Linked DNA regions of Sus scrofa. The protein of the gene in region 2 interacts with the protein of the main gene of each other region in a pairwise test. Links are inferred from orthologs where the notes say so. Each region holds a gene or a part of one and is shown on either strand. Other genes may lie near its edges.

What was found.
Region 1: the proteins of LIN7A (region 2) and MPP2 interact in binary tests that used the Homo sapiens proteins (3 or more experiments, as listed by UniProt). The two-hybrid records come from large-scale screens. The link is inferred for Sus scrofa from reciprocal best matches to the Homo sapiens genes LIN7A and MPP2.
Region 3: the proteins of LIN7A (region 2) and MPP5 interact in binary tests that used the Homo sapiens proteins (3 or more experiments, as listed by UniProt). The two-hybrid records come from large-scale screens. The link is inferred for Sus scrofa from reciprocal best matches to the Homo sapiens genes LIN7A and PALS1.
Region 4: the proteins of LIN7A (region 2) and MPP6 interact in binary tests that used the Homo sapiens proteins (3 or more experiments, as listed by UniProt). The link is inferred for Sus scrofa from reciprocal best matches to the Homo sapiens genes LIN7A and PALS2.

Annotation. Positions count from the first base shown.
Region 1 is NC_010454.4:19,244,607-19,249,200, reverse strand, and holds the start of MPP2 (MAGUK p55 subfamily member 2), read right to left. Parts: upstream 3,137-4,594; 5' UTR 3,109-3,136; coding exon 3,027-3,108; intron 1,228-3,026; coding exon 1,109-1,227; intron 1-1,108. UniProt on the Homo sapiens protein: Postsynaptic MAGUK scaffold protein that links CADM1 cell adhesion molecules to core components of the postsynaptic density. In CA1 pyramidal neurons, required for synaptic KCNN2-containing channel function and long-term potentiation expression.
Region 2 is NC_010447.5:100,532,191-100,536,724, reverse strand, and holds the start of LIN7A (protein lin-7 homolog A), read right to left. Parts: upstream 3,096-4,534; 5' UTR 1-3,095. UniProt on the Homo sapiens protein: Plays a role in establishing and maintaining the asymmetric distribution of channels and receptors at the plasma membrane of polarized cells.
Region 3 is NC_010449.5:90,953,939-90,958,416, reverse strand, and holds the start of MPP5 (MAGUK p55 subfamily member 5), read right to left. Parts: upstream 2,887-4,478; 5' UTR 2,635-2,886; intron 2,385-2,634; exon of another isoform or gene 2,093-2,384; intron 1-2,092. UniProt on the Homo sapiens protein: Plays a role in tight junction biogenesis and in the establishment of cell polarity in epithelial cells.
Region 4 is NC_010460.4:47,708,397-47,712,764, reverse strand, and holds the start of MPP6 (MAGUK p55 subfamily member 6), read left to right. Parts: upstream 1-1,352; 5' UTR 1,353-1,476; intron 1,477-2,084; exon of another isoform or gene 2,085-2,262; intron 2,263-2,780; exon of another isoform or gene 2,781-2,929; intron 2,930-4,368.

The DNA.
Region 1 (4,594 bases), on a different chromosome or scaffold from region 2:
GCTACTGGCACCATTCTCACCTCCTCTCCTCCTCCGCAATGGGGAGGGGGGTCACGCTCCCCCACGCACCCCGGTCCCTCCTTGCTTCTCATCTCGGTCGAAGGTGGCGCCAGATTCCCCTGTGCAGAATCTCAGGAGCCTGGCTACCCGTACCCCTCACCTTCCAAACACCAAGGATTTACCTCCTAACCATTTCCTCTGTCCTCCCTTCCCTCGCGCCGTTACCGCGGGTCTCATGCCGGGCCCTCCGGGACTCAGTCTCTCCAGCTCCAGCTGTGACCCTCCAGACACCCCCCCATGCAGCTGCCAGAGGGTGCCTAAAACACCCGCGTGTGTCATCACAGCCCTGCGGAAAGCCCACAGGAGGCTCCAGGTTGTCTATTGGATGATGCGCAAGCCCAGGCACAGCCTCCAGGGCCCTCTGCCCCCTGCCAGCTTCTCAGCAGCTCATACTCCCTCTTTTGCACCTGCAGCTCCAGCCTCACACTGCATGTGTGGCTCCTGTACCCTTCGGGCTCTTTCTCACCTCTGTTTCTGCTTAAGCTCTTCCTGTGGCCTAGAATGCCCTCCCCCTCCTCATTCTTCAAGACTCAGCTCAAGTGGTCCTTCCTCCAGGAAGTCTTCCCTGCCGCCCCATGGGCTGGTCAGCCATCTGCCCTTTCTGCTCCCGAAACACCTAGTGCCTCTGCCCACATTACCGCCATCATCAGATTGTTTTATAACTTTCTCCTCTAGTGAGTCTCTCCTCCACCTGACATTTGGCAGGTGACCTTAGAAAGAGGTCTGCACAAAATGCCCAAAGGCAGAAAGATGAGCAGGATGAAGTCCGGAGATTCCAAAGCACAGGCATGTTCACCCCTAACCAGTCATGCCCTCTACAAGCTGGCAGTCACCACACGCATCCACACGGGCCCATCCACACACTCATCTGTCAGGCATGGGGGCAGCCTGCCTCCCTACCTGGCTCAGATTCATCATCTGGGCGTGGATGTTCATGCATACCCTCTCTGGGGGTCTCTGGTGCCACATGTCCCAGCCCCAGGGCCCCTGTCCCCCATGCCTCCCCAGGCACCGTGCCCTTGTGCCTGAATCCCTCACAGCACTGTACCTTGGCCAAGGATCTCACTATGGGACTTTCCATAATGCCTCGAAGGAAGATCAGATCCAGTTCAGCAGCCCCCGTGGCATTGGGGAGGGATCCCAGGTTGTCCAGGACTTGCTGCATGGCTGGGGGGAAAGAGCAGCCTGTGAGACACACAGGTGCCAGCTGAGCACAGAGACCCAAACACACCCTATAGCGACCCTGCATCCTACTGCACATCCCACAGAAGACACCCCTCCTGGCAGCAAACCATTCCTGGCCCAGCACATCGGGACCTTGAATGTCTGGGGCAGGGGCCCTAAGAGGGGAGGGGCAATTTCCTTGGCCTGTTCTCTAGGCCCTAGATCATGCCAGCCTGGGCAGGAGGGAGGCCCTAGGCAGCGGGAAGTGGACACTGAGGTAGGGGGAGGGGAGAAAGGGAAGCAGGGTCAGGTTCCAGGTTCTGCCCTAAACCAGAGAACCAGACTCCGCATCCAACCTCTGGATGGGCTGAAGCCCCAGGACTCAGCCACCCACACGGGCAGGTTCAGGGATGAGAGACGATGGCTTAGAGCATGTCCCTGAGTGCCCGCCTGGAGTCAAGCAGACAGCCATGCAGGAGGTCAGAGCCTACACAGCATCCCGTACCAGCTGTGCCACTAATTCAGTGTGATTTTGCACAAGTCACTGCCTCTCACAGATCTCAGTCTTCCCTTCCTGTAAAATGGGTGTATTGGACTGGATACATCTACAGGCCCTTCAGCTCTGACAGACAACTGTCAAGAAATTAGTACAGGAGCTCCTGCTATGGTGCAACAAGATTGGTGGTGTCGTGGGAGATGGTGGGATGTGATCCCCAGCCCGGCACAGAGGGTTAAGGATCGGGTGTTGCCTCAGCTGTAGCTCAGGTCATGACTGCCACTCAGATCTGATCTCTGGCCCAGGAACTCCTTATGCCACTGGGCAGCCAAAAATGAAAAAGAAAGAAAGAAAAAGAGAGAGAGAGGAAGGAAGGAAGGAAGAAAAGAAAAAAAGAAAGAAAGAAAGAAAGAAGAGAAAGAAATTAGTCTAGATCATAGGGAGCCAAAGCTGAGGCCCAGAACACTGGTAGAAGCTGGGGAAATGGGCACCCTGGGGCCTAGGATGGCTGAGGGCACCCAGGGGCAGAAGCTGAACCAAGTCATCCCACGGATCGGTGAACCCTCAGCCTGGGATCAGACAAGGGCGTGAGAACACCTGAAGCGGCCACTGCTGAGACCTAAGGTGGGGGGTGTCTTCCTTCCACCACCAGCGGGGATGGGGGGTGTCTTCCTTCCCCCACCTGGCTGTGGCAGGTTCTGGGGGAAGGAAGGGAGAAGCAGTGTGCCCAGCTGGGGGAGAGATGGGCAGGGGGTATCATTACTCTGCCACCCTGCCACCCACGCCTACATCTGTATAAAAGCACCCAAGCCGGGGAGGAGGAGGGGTGGGTACCGTCCCTGGCACCTCTCACTGCTCTCAGCAGTACCCTCTCCTCCAGGAAGGAACTGTGGATGGGGGGAGGCACTGAAACCAGAGCTGGCAGCCAGGGTTCAAGGGCTCCTGCTCTCCCACCCTCTTCCCCCTCATCCTCCCCACCTTCTCCAGAAACAGCATCCACGTCTGCCCTCCAGACCCCTGCTGCTCAGACCTGGGCTTGGCCTTGGTCAGAGACCTTCAAGGCCCATAAGAGACTCAGAAAAAGGCCAGAGCAGGGACCCTTCCCTCTCTGCCCAGATATCCTGGGACGGTCCCCAGACAACCTCATAACCGGATTTCCCAGCCTGCCAGCCACAGGGAGGACTGAGCCAGGGGAGTTGGCGCCCTCAGCCCAGGCCTCGGCGCCCCCAAAACCTTAGGATCCCGGGAGCCCGCTCCTAGGGCACCCTAGATGCCCCAGCCTCACCGCCCCGCCTTTCCGCCCTACCTTCCCTCTGGAGCTCAGCTTCCTCAGAGGAGCCCAGGGATATACCCTCCAGGGAGGCCCCGCTGCCTGGGCTGCCCGCCATGGCTGCCCCTCGCCCGGTCCGAGGCTCCCAGAGTGGCCTGCACACCGCCGCCGCCTTCCCAGTCCGAGGGCAGCGCTGGAGGAGGCGGGACTCGGGAAGCGCCCCCTGCAGGGCTAGCCAATAGCAAGGCTCAGCCGCCCTGACCGCCTTTCTGATTGGCCAATGCCCCAAGTGAAGCAGACCCCAGAGGGGGCAGTAAAAGCTCTGGGAGGGGGCGGTGGGAGAGTGAGTCCTCAGCCCACGGGTGACCCGATCCCCCTGTTTTAGTACCTTCTAGTGGGGGTGGGGAGGAGGCGGCTGAGGAAAGATTCGAAAGCGGAGAGGGTTAAGCGTGCAGCCCCTTCAAGACTAGGGCGGTGCTCAGGGACTCTCCCCAACCAGCCCAGCTGCGGGGAACCCAAGGTGGGTGGGGATTTGGCCCCATCTTGTTCCTGCCCCCCGCTTCTGGAAATCCCTCCTGTATTACACCCCTTGCCGCCGCCTCCTCTTCGTGCCCTCCAACCTCTCTGTCCCCTCTTCAGGCCCAGTTTCCTCTACTATGACTCCCTCAGGATTAAAGGAAGACCCCAAGAATGATTCTCGGTCCTGCGCCAGGAGGCAGTGGCACCACTTTGGCGTGGGGCAAATACCTCAAAGCCCAAATGCCTCTCCCAGCTGCCATTTGTGAGGGAGTGGGGGAGGGAAAGGGGTGGCATCACTATGGGCACAGAAGGGCACCCCAAGATTTCTAACCCCACATCTCAGCAGCGGTTTCACCCTCCCCCATCTCCCGTTAGCACTCCCCCTTGGATATGAGGGTGATGCCTGTGGACAAGGCAGAATTAGGGAAGGGAAAAGGTGAGTGAGAGACCATTGAGGAAGCAGGGACTAGGGTAGGCACTGGGGGGCACTTGACAGTTACCCCAACCCAGAGCCACCATTCATTCCTCTGAGACCCTGTACCCATGAGGGCACCACTAGGCACTGCTGCCTCCACCAGACAACTATTCCCTGAGGAGTGGCACCAGGGCACAGCACACCCCCTGGTTGCCATGGCAGCAGGCAGGATTACACACTAGGACATTAACCCAGAGATTTAAAGGGACAGCTCCACCTGAAAACCCCATGACCTAGCCTTGATTCAAAGAAAGAAGGGAACTAGGTACAGGGGGAAGAGAGGGCAGGGCTGCAGGCCTGGAGTCCAGGGACAAGCTGTCTAAACGCTCAGCCCATGCCATTACCTGTGTATCTCCAACCCTCAGGAAAAGGGTCCCTCCACATTACTAGTAACAGAGTTGGGGTCTCCCTGCAAGAGGAATATTCCCACACCCTCTCCCTTTCTCCACAATGACCGTGGCCATACTGACTTGTGGGTAAGGGTGGAAAGACCCTGCTAGCTTCGTTCTCTGCAGAACCCAAGGCAGAGGTCTCTGGGGGAAGAGAGAGGGAGGGGGAAAGTGAACCCGACCTCAGAGGCAGGGACCCAGCTATCTCTCTGTCAGGTCCG
Region 2 (4,534 bases):
CACTGATCCCCAGTTTCTTCATCTGATAAACAAGGGCATTCGTAATCTTCAATCTCATTGAGATTTTTTAATGCGAGGAAAGTAATTCTTCCCTGCAGTCTCACTGAGTTGTGTGAGGGTCTGACGAGATCATGCACATGTATGTGCTTCGAAAACAGGAGAGTGTGTACAAATGGATTCGTACAGCAAACATACATTCCACCCGAACTCTATGGCAAGCACGCTGCAAGGTGCTGGCCATGCAAAGATTAATGAGACATGACCCTTTTTCTAGATAATGCTCAGTACAAGTTGGGAGACAAATAATGAGCAAGCTGTGAGAATATGAGCAAGCTCTGAGCAAGAATGGGAGCAGTAAGTCCTCTAAGCACCGCTGAAAGTTAAGTCCTGTGGGAGAAAGGAAGAAGCAACAGTTTGGGTTGATTATCATTATTCACATCCCCAAAACCAAACCACAAAAAGAAGTGTAATTGTGCACAATAACAATAGAATATATTCCAAGGTTTTGCACAAAATATCAAACCTCATGCAATAACAGAGGATGAAAAGAACATACAAATCCCTTGGCCATTAACGTAGTTCTTAACATATTCTATTATGAATATGTATTTGAGTGGCTTGATTCATAAATCTAAAAGCCATATTTTTAACATAAATCCTAGATTGTGAAGTCCACGAAGGTAGCCTTTTCGTCTTTTTGTTTCTTGATGTATCCCCAGCACCAAACATTTCATAGCCTGTTTCTGGACTTATGGTTTGAGCTCCCTAATTGAAAATTTATTCTACCATTCTCTCTCTGTGTTGACTCTGTAGGGTTTTTGGAAGGTTTGAAAGAAAATGTAAGAGAAAGCACAAATCACCATATATTCATCAGTTATTATTTCTAGTAGTGGTAAGTTCAGTGCCTTTAGCTTATGTCTGCACAGGTGTAGAAAATGAATAATAATTTATTATCTGTTAGATTTTGTTTTTTAATAAAGTATGCATAACTACTATCTCTCTAAAATGTTTGTGAATTTTTGAGACGTGTAGAAACACAACAAAAGGTCCTTAATCACTTCCGTTGCTTTAGTAGATGTTACCATACTTAGATCTCTTGAATAAGCGCCTGGACCACTCTGGTACCAAGCACAGTGTTTCATCAAGATCAATATACTTGATCTATTCATATGTATGTTGTTTTGCTGATTGTGTATTAATCAGGGAATTGTTAAAACACCCTGGTTATACAATCAATGCAATTTTTCATTAAATGATATATAGTAATTTACTTCAATGAGTCTTTATCAAATTCATGAATGAGTCAATCAAATTCATTCAATAAATACTTATTGAGCACTTAACATGTGCCAGGTTGATTTTTCTTTCCTTCTCAGCCCAGAAAAGTAGGTATTGTCACTCCATTTTAGAGATTCAGTAAACTGAGTCTTAGAGGTTCAATGACTTGCTTAAAAAGAGTAGCACCTGTATTCGAAAGCTCCTGTATTTTGCACTGAGAAACATACTAATCTTTCAGAGTTCCATATATGTATACTATATCTATATCTAGCGAGCTAGCTAGTTATCTAGCTAGCTAGTTAGCTATCCTTTTACGCTTGAGATAAACTCAAAGAGAAAAATGCATGGAGGAAATTTAGGTCAAAGAAAAAAGAACTATGATGCTGGTTCCATTCTATATAAATACAGGTTAATATTAAAATGACTACATACTTTGAATATAAAATCTTTTCTTGTTAAAAAATTCATTCAAAGTTACGTTAAGGTCTGTTTCACTTAATTGAATCCTTGTGAATTATATGACAAAATCAAGAGAAGGTTTGCATAAAGCATTAGCATACCAAGAAAATGTGTTTAGTTAGATTATAAATGGAGTATAATAAGCACAGTTTCATATGAGGAAAAGAGCACCTTCAAACTGGAATTCTTTCAGCCTTGGGTGTTAGAAATTATTTTTGACTAATTTAAGATACCATATTCTCTCCCTTAATTCTCACAGTTTTGTCAAAACAGCACTGGATTAAAATGAAGTGCCAACCTATATTGTGGAATCTAAATGTTTGCGGGTTTTTTGAATCATCACAGAGCACCTTACTATATTTATTTTATCCTTAGATTTTTAAAAAACTGAGTGGCAATTTTGTTCATGGTAAAATGTCTGAATCTTAGACTTGATAACATTTGTCTTGATAACATTTGTCTGTTCATTCAACAAATACTGTACGTAACTCTATCCCAGATGCTGTTCTAGGCACTGGGATATTGCAGTGACCAAGAAATGCCCCTGCTCTCACTTGGTGTGTATTCTCACGGGAGAGAAATCCATAAGAAGCAAACAAGAAAAATATCAATTAGTGACTAAGTGCTGTGCAAAGAATGGAAAATTGAGGACTGAAGTGAGTCTAGAATAATATCTGGTTTACAAAAGACAGAGACAAGGGAAAAGGGCATTCTGAGAAGCAGGAGAGTAAAGCGGGGGTGGGAGAACAGACACGTGTGTCTTAAGGGCAAAGCAGGCAGTTCAATTGGGAGCATAAGAAAAGGAAGACTAAAGAGGGCCATTGAGAGTCAGGTTATGAAAGATAATGTAATTAACAGAAATGTAATGAATCCTTCAAGAACTGTTTTGTGCTCATCATACAATGGAATATGCCAAAGACAATCCAGGCTAAGAAAAAAAAACTGTGTTGTGGAATCTACATTAAAAATTACCAATATCAGAAAGAAATGACTTACTGATTCAGAGTTGGATGTGAGAGAACTGAAGATGAAATACAAATATAAAATGTCGATTTCAATTATTTTTCATTTCTTTCAAAAGAAATTTTGTCAAACTTTGAGACAGATAATCTGATATATGAATAATTAATCTTCGCTTGTAGGGTCTTTTTGCATTATTTTACATTACCAATTATCTTCAAAAAATAAGCATAATAATTAACGTTTGCTCTGGTTCTGCCATAGGCCATGGCACATATAAGTGCACTAGTATGCTTTATTTATGCCCATTTAACTCATATAATATAAAAGGATGTTTTGGTTTCATTTTGAAATAAACATTTTTCTGTTATGATTGATCTTTTGTAATAAAATTTAAATTCAAACCTTACAATTTTCTTCTTTTTCCTTACACATCCCCTCATACTTACACCATTGGGAAAGCCTCATAGACACAAGGGAGGCAAGATAAAATGATTTTTAAAAGTGTTACCGGATTCATCTCTTTCTCATATCTACTCAGGAAGTATTTCCAAAATTTTAGACCCCACAAACTTTACTGGTTTTTAAAAACCTTTTAATTACTATTGCATCTCAGAACATTTTTAATATATCCATCTTTGAGTCTATAATTATACTTTTATCCAACAAATGTTCATGGTGAACCTGCTATATGCTAGACACTGCTCTAGGTTCAGTGGAAAACATGGAGAGGGCACCTTTACATATGGAGCTTAGTTTTTTATGAAGGGAGACAGATAAAACACAACGATAAATCGGAGAACCTTAGGTAGTGGTAAGAACCACAGACATGCTGAAGCTGTTTACACTGTTAGGCTCGACCCAGTTATGTGCCTCTTGCCCCAACGTCACTTTTAGTGGCATCACCCTGGTAGGTTTAGATTGGCCAGGATAGCAGTATTTACACCAAGGGTATTGGCAAATACTACGTATGGAAATTTTCTTTTTTTTTCCCCCCTCTGGAAAGCTAATTGCTAAACATGTACCAGCATACCATAAAGTCCACAAAGAAAATAAAATACAAAGTGGTGACAAAATATACAGCAGGGAGCTAGCAACATTCATTAAAATGGTTGGAAAATAAGTCATGCATTTGACAGAAACTTTTGTAAAATAACAAGTTGACTTCATATTTGATGGACCACTGCCTAGGATGCTGCGGATGGAGTTAGAAGAAGTAGGAGACATTCATGCTATTTTTGAGGAGATTACAAAATGTTTGGAAAGGAAACAAAAGCATCAATCGAAAGGCATAGAATTAATTACACCATGATGTAGCAATGAGAATATGTGATAGTATAAATCTCTATGTGATAAGGGCATGTAACATAAAAGGAAGTCTGGATTCTTTGAATACTGCGTGGAGGCAGCTTACATGTACTTTTAGAGGAATCTTGGAGATATTTTCTTTCCTGCATGTGGATAATAAAGTTTCACCCCTTTGAGCAGAAAGCTGCTCCTTGCAATTTTGAATCAAATGATTGCTAACCAAGTGGGTGGAGACTTCCTGAGAACTACAGAAAAGGATGGACAAGATCAGTATAACTGGGTGCCTGTGTTGGTAGAGAATCTTATGGTGCTGAAAGAACGCTGTGGCCTTGATCCTTAAAAAGAACACTAATGATAGTCAGGATTTACTTGTTTTAGCTTTAGCTTCATTTAAAATATGGCTTAAATGGGTTTTTCTTGAAAAGCCCCTCAATTCCTGACTTTCATGTTTTACTTAACCTTGCCCAACTTACTTATTTCTCTCGAATTCTGGTACGATGGAATTAATTAAGAATATTAGGGAGAATAA
Region 3 (4,478 bases), on a different chromosome or scaffold from region 2:
CCCGAACCGAATCCTTAACCTGCTTTGCCACATGAGAACTCCTCTAGCACGTTTTTTGTTTTGTTTTTTAAATAAAGTTAAACATACACTTCCCACATGAGCCAGAAATTTCACTCGTAGGTGCTTACCCAAGAAAAATGAAAACCTGTTGGCAAAGATTTATAGCAGCTTTATTCATAGTCCAAACAAACAACTCAAATGTCTTTCAACTGTAGATGGAGAAACAAACTGTGATACATCCACACATTGGAATACTACATTCATCAATAAAATGGAAGGAACTGCTGGTATACTCAACGACATGGATGAACACTCAAATGTACTACGCTATATGAAAGAAACCAGACTCAAAAGGCTAAATGTTCTAATGATTCCATTATCTGATATTCTAGAAAAGACAAGCTACTGGTAAAGACAACAATCATTAGTTTCCAGGGATCAAGGGTCGGGGAAGAGGTGACTACAAAAAAGAGTAGCTCAGAGGAATTTCAGGCACTGGAACTGTTATGTGTCTTGATTTGGATAATTGAACAGCTTTGCGCATTTGTCAAAACAATTGTACAACAAAAAGTTAACCTCATTTCACAAAGTTAAGACTGTTGTGAAAGAAAGAAAATAAAAATACCTTTCTCACCCATCAGATTGGCACAAATTAAATCTGATATTGCCAATCTGACAATTGCAAGTGTGGACAAGGATGACTCATATACTGTTGGCAGGAATGTAAACTGTTACAACTTTTTAGAGGGTAATTTGGCTGCAGCTAGTAAAGGTGAGAATGTACATCGACCTATGACCCAGAAAGTCATTCTGGAGAAAACTTCACAAAAGTGTTGAAGGATGCATGCACAAGGATGTTCATTAAACAATGTTTGAAACATTGAAAAACTGAAAACAGCCCTTCAGTAGGGAAATGAATTAATTGTGGTTAGTGGTTATTTTTAAAAGAAAGGGGGAAAATGAGTAAGGGTAATTTAATTGGTTTATTTAACAACAGTATATAGTGAAAAGAACACTGTACTTAGAATCTGAAGGCAAGCATTTTAGCATTTAGTTCCAACTCTGCCACTTAACTAGTCGGTGTATAAACCTGTTTCCTTTTCCTGGAAAACGAAGAGGTCAGATGATACAAACACTAAAATTACTTCCAACTCAACAAATGATGTATAAAGTAGACCAAATTTCTTGGTACGTCTGTAATACGCTTCTTAATCAAGATAATAATAACTCAGAAAAAGCATGTAAACTCCTAAACTCATTCTACTGATTGGGTAACCCTCAGGTAAAAATTATATATTCTTTCACATTTTAACATTCTAAAACAAGTTAATATTACTGAGTTCATCCTGTCAAGTTAAGATCTGTCTGGCCAAAAGTCAATCAAATACATGGTAAGATTTACTTGATTTTGTTTTACCAAAGATAAAATGATGAATTGCTTTCTGTATTTTTTGCCTATTTCATCTATAAAATTCTTAATTTAATAGCTTCCACCTGTTACAGTAGTTTAAAGAGCCTTTTAAAACTTGTAATAAGCCAAGTCCACAGGGATCAAGTAAAAAATTAGTTTATAATCCAAAAAAGCTCACTTAACAATTTTATTACCTCAATACTCATACTTCAAAGACACCAATAACCAGCCTGTCATTTGTTCCTATTGCAGAATTTAATAGCTTATTAACTTCTGGTATAATCTAAACATAATTAGAAGCTATCATTAACACATAAGACTTTAAAAAAAAATCAGAAATCGTGACACCTCTCACCTTATTAAAATCAAAATTCCAAAACTCTTGTTCTTAAGGGCTTTCCAAATCTAAATTCTCACAACTCTAAACGAGTGCGGAGATAAAACACACACTATGTACTGCTTCCAAAAACCTCCTAGCTACCAGATTTTAATTTGAGCGCCAACTGCCTTTCGACCGAAACCTAAATTCCGGACACCTTACTGTATGTCAATCAACTAACGAGAAGGTGAGCTATTATTAATAGGAAATTACATAATTTGCACCAAAGATTGTTTAAAGCGCCTTCCATTAAAAGCAGCTTATAACAAGTGAGGGCTTCGAAGTTCACCTTGCAAACTTACAGCAAATTATCGGAAACCATAAACGAGATTTGGCTCTTCTTTAAAAGTGGTTACAAGGAAGTAGAAATTGTTTGTTTATTTGTTTAAAGAATGCAACCAGCAGCCGAATACCAGGGGCTGAGTCAGGCAGAGGAACGCCGACTACATTCCGTCTTCTAAAGGAAAATGTTCTTCGCCCGCCGATTTCCCCGACCCGGCCTGGAGGGAGTCCCGGGAGTCGCGAACTCGGGGGCGGGGGCGCAGAGAGCAGGGGCCTCCCTCCAACTCTGGCTGGGCGGGCAAAGTCCCCGCCGAGGTGGGTCGTTCGCCAAGGCAGAGGGAGCGGGCACGGCCAGACAGCGTACCTCCGAGGGACAAAGGTTGGGCTCACGCCCTCTGCGGCCGGCCGGCTAGCGCTGCCTGGAGCAGCCCGTGAAGAGCCCCGGGTCCCGCCCGGGCCCAGAGGAGGGGGAGGGGGCGAGCCCGGCCGCCCCCTCCCCCGCCGCTCGCGGGGACCTGTTGATTAAGACCTCAACACGGAACCGCTGCCGGACGCCACTTACCTCCGCGCCCCAGTGGCCGCCGCCGCTCCTCCCGCCCCAGCCGCTCCTCAACGCTGCAGAAACGACAGCTCCCCAGCTGCACTTAAAATACCGGATAAAGAATCCAGAAAGTCGCGTTTCCCCACCTCACAATCCTTAGTCCCCGCCCCCGCCCCACCGCCAGTCGCCGCCGTCGCTGCCGCGGCCTCCAGCGACTCCACCTCGAGACCGCGCGAGACCAGCCCCCGCGGCAGCCGCGAGACCGCGCACGCGCCCCCGGGACTCTGGCGCAGCGGGCGCGCCTATCCCAGTGGCTCCCCGGCACGCCCGCCTGCGGTCAGGCAGGGAGGCTGGCGCGGTTTGCCCAATCCCGAGCCGGCGCGGAGAGACGGCCCGCTTATTGGCCCGCTCCGTAGCTCTGAGCGGCCGGTCGCGCGCGCACTCGCGCGCCTCTCAGTGGAAAACGCGAAGTGCTTCGGGCTCTCAGGCGCTAGGGAACCACTTTGGGTTTGAGCCCGCGGGCCAGGTTATGCGAGGACGTGAGGTTTCCCTAAGACGCAATGGGAGTGAACTAACGCTCCACAGACCTTTTCTCTCTCCCTAAATGTCCGTCGGCTCCTGACGGATAACTAATTCCCTTGAGGCGACTCCTCATGTCCTGTGAAGCATGTCCCACGATCTAACATTTGTTTAAAGAGTAGAACCATGGCTTACGTGAACACGGGTATGTGTGGGGTCTCACGAAAGAATTCTCTGCCACCACGGAAGACTCCACAAAGCTAGCAGCTCGGACCGAGTTCTGAAAGCCAGGCAGGAAGGGTGCCAAGCGCCACAGCTGTTTTCACAAAACGCGGGTACCTGGGTCAACCCACATCCAGTGTAAGAAAATCCAAATAGTCTCCAGGATTCCCTAGAAACTGGTACCCACATCCAATGAGGAGGAAAGAAAAAAAATGTTAGTGTGTGTGCTTTATGGGTGTGTAAAGAGAGGCCCATTTCCTTTCTAAGTTCTTAAATGCATAAAATAAGTAATTCCAGAAGCTTCCTTTAGCTCCGCAATGAGTTTTTTCCCCCTCTACCTCAGGGTTTCCACCCTCGGTGCTATTGACATTTGGACCAAGTAATTCTTTGTTGTGGAGACTGACCTGTGCAATTTAGGATGCTTAGCAGCATCGCTGGTCTCTACCCATCAGGTACCAATAGCACCACTAGCCCCTAGTGACCATCAAAAATGTCTCTAGCCTTTGTCAAAGATTCCCTTGAAGGACAAACTCACTTCCAGTTGAGAACCGCTGATTTAGCTTTTCAAAGAAATGCCATTGAGGAAAAAAGACAGCGTTTTGTGTTTTTTTTTTTTTCCGCATTTTTCCAGAGCATTTTTTAGAAGAATTTTTTTCTTTCTTTTTTTTTTTTTTTTTTTTTTTTTGTCTTTTTGCCATTTCTTGGGCCGCTCCCGCCACATATGGAGATTCCCAGGCTAGGGGTCGAATCGGAGCTGTAGCCGCCGGCCTACACCAGAGCCCACAACACTGGATCCGAGCCGCATCTACAAGCCTACACCACAGCTCACGGCAACGCCAGATCCTTAACCCACAGAGCAAGGGCAGGGATCGAACTCCCAACCTCATGGTTCCTAGTCGGATTCGTTAACCACTGCACCACGACGGGAACTCCCTCTTTTTTCTTTTTTTTAAGGTCCACACCCATGGCATATGGAAGTTCCCAGGCTATTAGTCAAATCAGAGCTATAGCTGCATGTCCGTGATCTACAACACAGCTCATGGCCACACAGGATCGTTAACCCACTGAGGAAGGCCAGGGATCAAACCCAAATCTTCATGGATACTAGTCGGTTTTGTTACCGC
Region 4 (4,368 bases), on a different chromosome or scaffold from region 2:
TCAGTGAAACGCATCCTATTTTCAGGGAGTGGGGGTGGAGTAGGAGGTTAGTACATTGCTTCCGCAAGACCCTTGAGGAAACAAAGGTGGACTCATAAGGGATCAGGAACATACCAGAAATGACCTTCATCCCCTCCCTTGGAGGGGCTCGGGGCACCACCTGGTAGGAGAGGGTGTGGTGAGATTGGGAATCGGAAGAAGAGGATCAAAGTTGGGAGGTGTGGGTAGGGTGCAGTGGGAATGAGCCATTGGGTATCCTGTGGGAAGTAAACGGACCTGGGAAACAAGGAGAAGGAAAAGGAAGACGTGGAGGTTTTTCCTAATTCTGAGAAGAGAAACATATTTCCCTTCTGCATCCGCCTTGCCTCACTCTTGGGCACAGGGCACAGTCAACTTCATTTCATCCAACTGGCCTGACTATGAGGGAGGGGGGCTCAGCATGGGCTCGGAGTTACTGGTATCCCTTAGTACATTCAGATGTCCTTAAATGCTTCCAATTTCCCTTCCTCAGGTTTGCTGTTCCAGGAAAGAAGGTTCTAAATTAATACTCGACAAACTCCCCCTGTGTGTGGGTTTGCAAAATTAATGATCCTAATGGAAAAGTAAATTAATCTTTGATGCTTGGTTGAGGCTAAGAGAAAATGTTTTGGGTCTTAATACACCCCTTCCATAGCATTCTCTCCCTCCCTCCCGTGCTAGCCACAATGCAGCTTGAAAACTCCATCTCTGAATCCAAAGGGCCATGTTGCTAGCATTTAGCAAATGCCTGGTTGGTGCAGGACAGTGCCACTGTGCCCAAGAGAAGCCAGGAAAGGCTGCATAGAGGAAGCCACCTGATGCGATGTTCCGCCCTTGTCACGTTTTACTTGCACTTTCTAAATTCCCGGTTTGAAAAGACTGCAGTAAACGTTTTGTAAAATGTAAACAAGGCGTTCATAGCTTCTTCAATTTCAGGAAGCGGCAGCAGCTGACACAGCAGCTTTGCCAAAAGCCCCATCACAGGTCTGAGGGTTCACAGATCTCTTGGGATTCAGGGAGAGGTTAAGGGAATCGGAAGTTCTCAGACTGCCTGGCTGTGTTTTTCTACCAGAGCCTCTGCAGCACCGCATCGCTCAGTTCCTTTCAACTGAAAAATTAAATCTGCGCTCCTGTCAAAATCTGTCATCTGCACACCCGGACACTCATCCCAGTTCACCATGCACCCCGCAGAGGCAGAGTCCAGGTGGAAAGGGTGGCGCAGCCCCACTTCCGAGGTCTGCGAAGGCCGGGTGTCTGGAGGGAGCTCAACAACTGGTGTCCCAGGAGTGTTCGGCAAAGCCGGCTCCGGGGGTGCCACGGGCGCCTCGGTGCTATGAAAAGAGCTAGTGTCCGTCCATTTCCTCGGGTGTGCATCACACTCCCTGGCTGGGCCTCCGGGAGGAAATTCACGGAGGACACAGCGCCGTAGAACCTGCTGAATACACATCAAAACCAGAGGTGCGTGTGTGAAGGGGGAGGGAGGAGATTTTCCAGAGGCTTTTTTTCTTCGAGGTCTTTTTATCCTTTGGGCCCCACGGCTGGTGGGTTCTTTGAATGTAAACTCTTGAAAGGGGCTGGGAGGAGCCTCTTTTACGCCCGGTGGAGTCTCCTGCTCCTCGGTAAATGCTGAGTGACAGCTGCAATTTCGGCCTGGAAGATCCGGTGGGGATTGGGGCTGGGGGACCCTCGCGCGCGGGCGTGCGCGGCTCGGGGCCGGACCCGGGAGCCCCGCGAGAGGCGGGCCGCGCGGTCGGGCCGGGGCGCCGTCTGCCGGCGCGGGGAGGGGGCTCCACCTGGTCGCCCCGCCGCGGCCGGAGGGGCGGGGCCGGCTTCCCCGAGGCGGTGGCGCCTCCTCGCGCCCGAGCGTGCTCCGCGGCGTCCGGCGCACGCGCGAGGCCGGGAGGGAGCGCGCCCCGGCAGCGGCGGGAGGAGGCGGAGGAGGAGGAGGAGGTGGGCGGCGGCCGGCCGGCGGCGGAGGAGGGCGGCGGAGGAGAGGCTGGCCGCGCGCGCGGTGGTGGCAGCGGCGGCGCCGGCGACCGGAGCCGGGCGGAGTGGGGCGCGAGGGAGGGGGCGGAGGGGGAGGGCGGCGCAGGGGAGCGAGAGCCGCCTTTCCAGGTCCCAACTACGAGCCGCGAGTTTGTAGATGGGGCTGCTCGGCGGCGCCTGCGGCTGAGGAAGAGCAGCGGCGGCCGGCGGACGGGAGCGGCGGCGGCGGCGGCGCGGAGGCGGCCGAGGTGCGAGCCGGTGAGTTGCCGGGGCCCCACGTCGCTCGGGTAACGGTCTCGGCGCGCGCGGGGCCGGCTGCGGGGGCGCCCTGTTGCTCACGGCTGCGGGCCACGCGGGGACCCTGGCCCGCCCCGCCCCCTCGGCACCTGGGCGCGGGCGGCGGCGGGGGCTGCTCCGCTCGGGCCGCGCGGAAGGGACGCGCTCTGCCGGGCCCCTGGCTCCCGGGCTGCGGGCGGGCGGAGCGCGGCAACGTGCCTGGCCCATGCCGCCGGCCGCCGCGCCGCGCCCGGCTCTCGCCAGCGTGCTCCCCGGCGGGGGCCGGGCTGGGGCTGGGGTCGCGCGGGGGCCCTCCGGGCGCAGGGCAGCGGCGCGGGGCGCGGACCCCCTCTGCGGCGGGAGCGGTGGGAAAGCGTGAATGGAGGGCTGCGCCGGGGGCGGCGGCGGCCGTGACGGACACCTCCGGGGTCCGTCTCGGGAGGGGGCGACGCAGCCGACCTCGGGCCGCCTCCCCAGCCCCGAGTCGTTGGGGGAGGAGGCTTTCTGCAAGTCCTGCCGCTACTTCCGAGGCACGAGACTCCAGTTGTTTGAGCAGAGTGCTTGGGGGCCGAGCACACGCGGCTCCGGAGGCGGTTGCGGCCGAGGCAGTGCTTTCCGATTCTGGGTACGCGTGTCTGGAACCCGAAAGGTGCTGGGGCTTTTTCTTTTTCTTTCTTTCTTTCTTTCTTTTTTTTTTTTGTTTTTTTGGCGGGGTGAAGGGCCAGGAAGGGAGTCGAGTCGACTGAGGGATCTTACGGTCGTTGTGATGACAGGATGTGGATGGTTGGTTGGTGGGTGTTTTTTGCAGAAGGATTTTTTTTTTTTTTTAACACTTTCTTGGGAGTTTCGTCTCCGTCTCCGCAGCTCCTGGGATTACAGCGCGTGATTCCATCCGTTCAACTTCCATCAGCTGGGGCATGTAAGCAGGGTTGGGGGCAGGCGAGGGACGGAGTTGAAGGCTGGTGGGGAATCTCAGGAAAATTCTCCGCCTGACTTACAAACAGCTGGTTACATTTTACTCCTTTTCTATGCCTTTGGGGTGTTGGAATTTGACTTTATGCCTCCTGAATTGGCCTCCTTGTAATACGCCTTGGAACATTGGAGGTGCGTTAAACTGCTTTTCAATTGGAGTAGGATTTAGCAGCCATGTCTTCCCGAGAAATCTTTGAAATGGTCGTTCAGAAACTTATGCAGGTCGAATATTTCAGGCGAGGCAACACTCTGTTACCAATGCGGAGATAGTTGCGGTACATGTGTGAAACAACGGATCTCACGCTATTACTGCTTATTTTAGGCATCTGCTGTGCAATTATGATAAGGTATCAGGCCTGATTATAGTCATGTCTTCTGAGGCCTGATTACAGCAAACAACTTTCATGGGTTGTGTCATCCTGAGGTCATCTGGTATCTGAGATCTGTCATATATTTAAATGTATGTTTAAATACATGTTTGCACAATGTGTTACTTTTTAAGGTCTGTGCTGCTTTTAGTTTAGACTAGGGTTACATAATATACAAGTGGTAACACTTTTAATAGCCCTGGTTTTGTCCTGTAGAGATTGCATGCTAAATATCTTTATGAAAAAACATGTGGGGGTCTGTGTGTGTCCTTTTCTGATTGATGCCACTGGGTTCCTTTTCCATTTGGAATTTCAAAATGACTCTCTTCTTTATATATTCAAGATTAAATGAGCACTGGAAAAAATAGGGCCTTCAGCAAGGCTGATAGTTCTGTGGAAGACAGAATCATTTTTTGTTCTCTGGCCAACTGTTGGATTTTTTTTTAAACGAATCATATTTTTCTTAAACATTCGTGGGAGCAGTTTGCATTTTTCCTGAGTCTCATTTCAGGCTGAAATTGTTCCAGAAGACTACACAGCCTGTGTCTCTCTGCCTCCCCCCTCCCATTTTTAGCTTGGGATAACCAAGAAGTCATAATTACAGGACTCTGTGTGTTACCTGTACTGTTTTTAACTTGAAGCTGTTTGAGAACTTACCATGCCTTTGTATACGCTACCATTTAATAATGAATGGTTAGCAGAAGACAGCTGAGATTTTCATTAAATGCCCTTCGCATTTTTGACATCC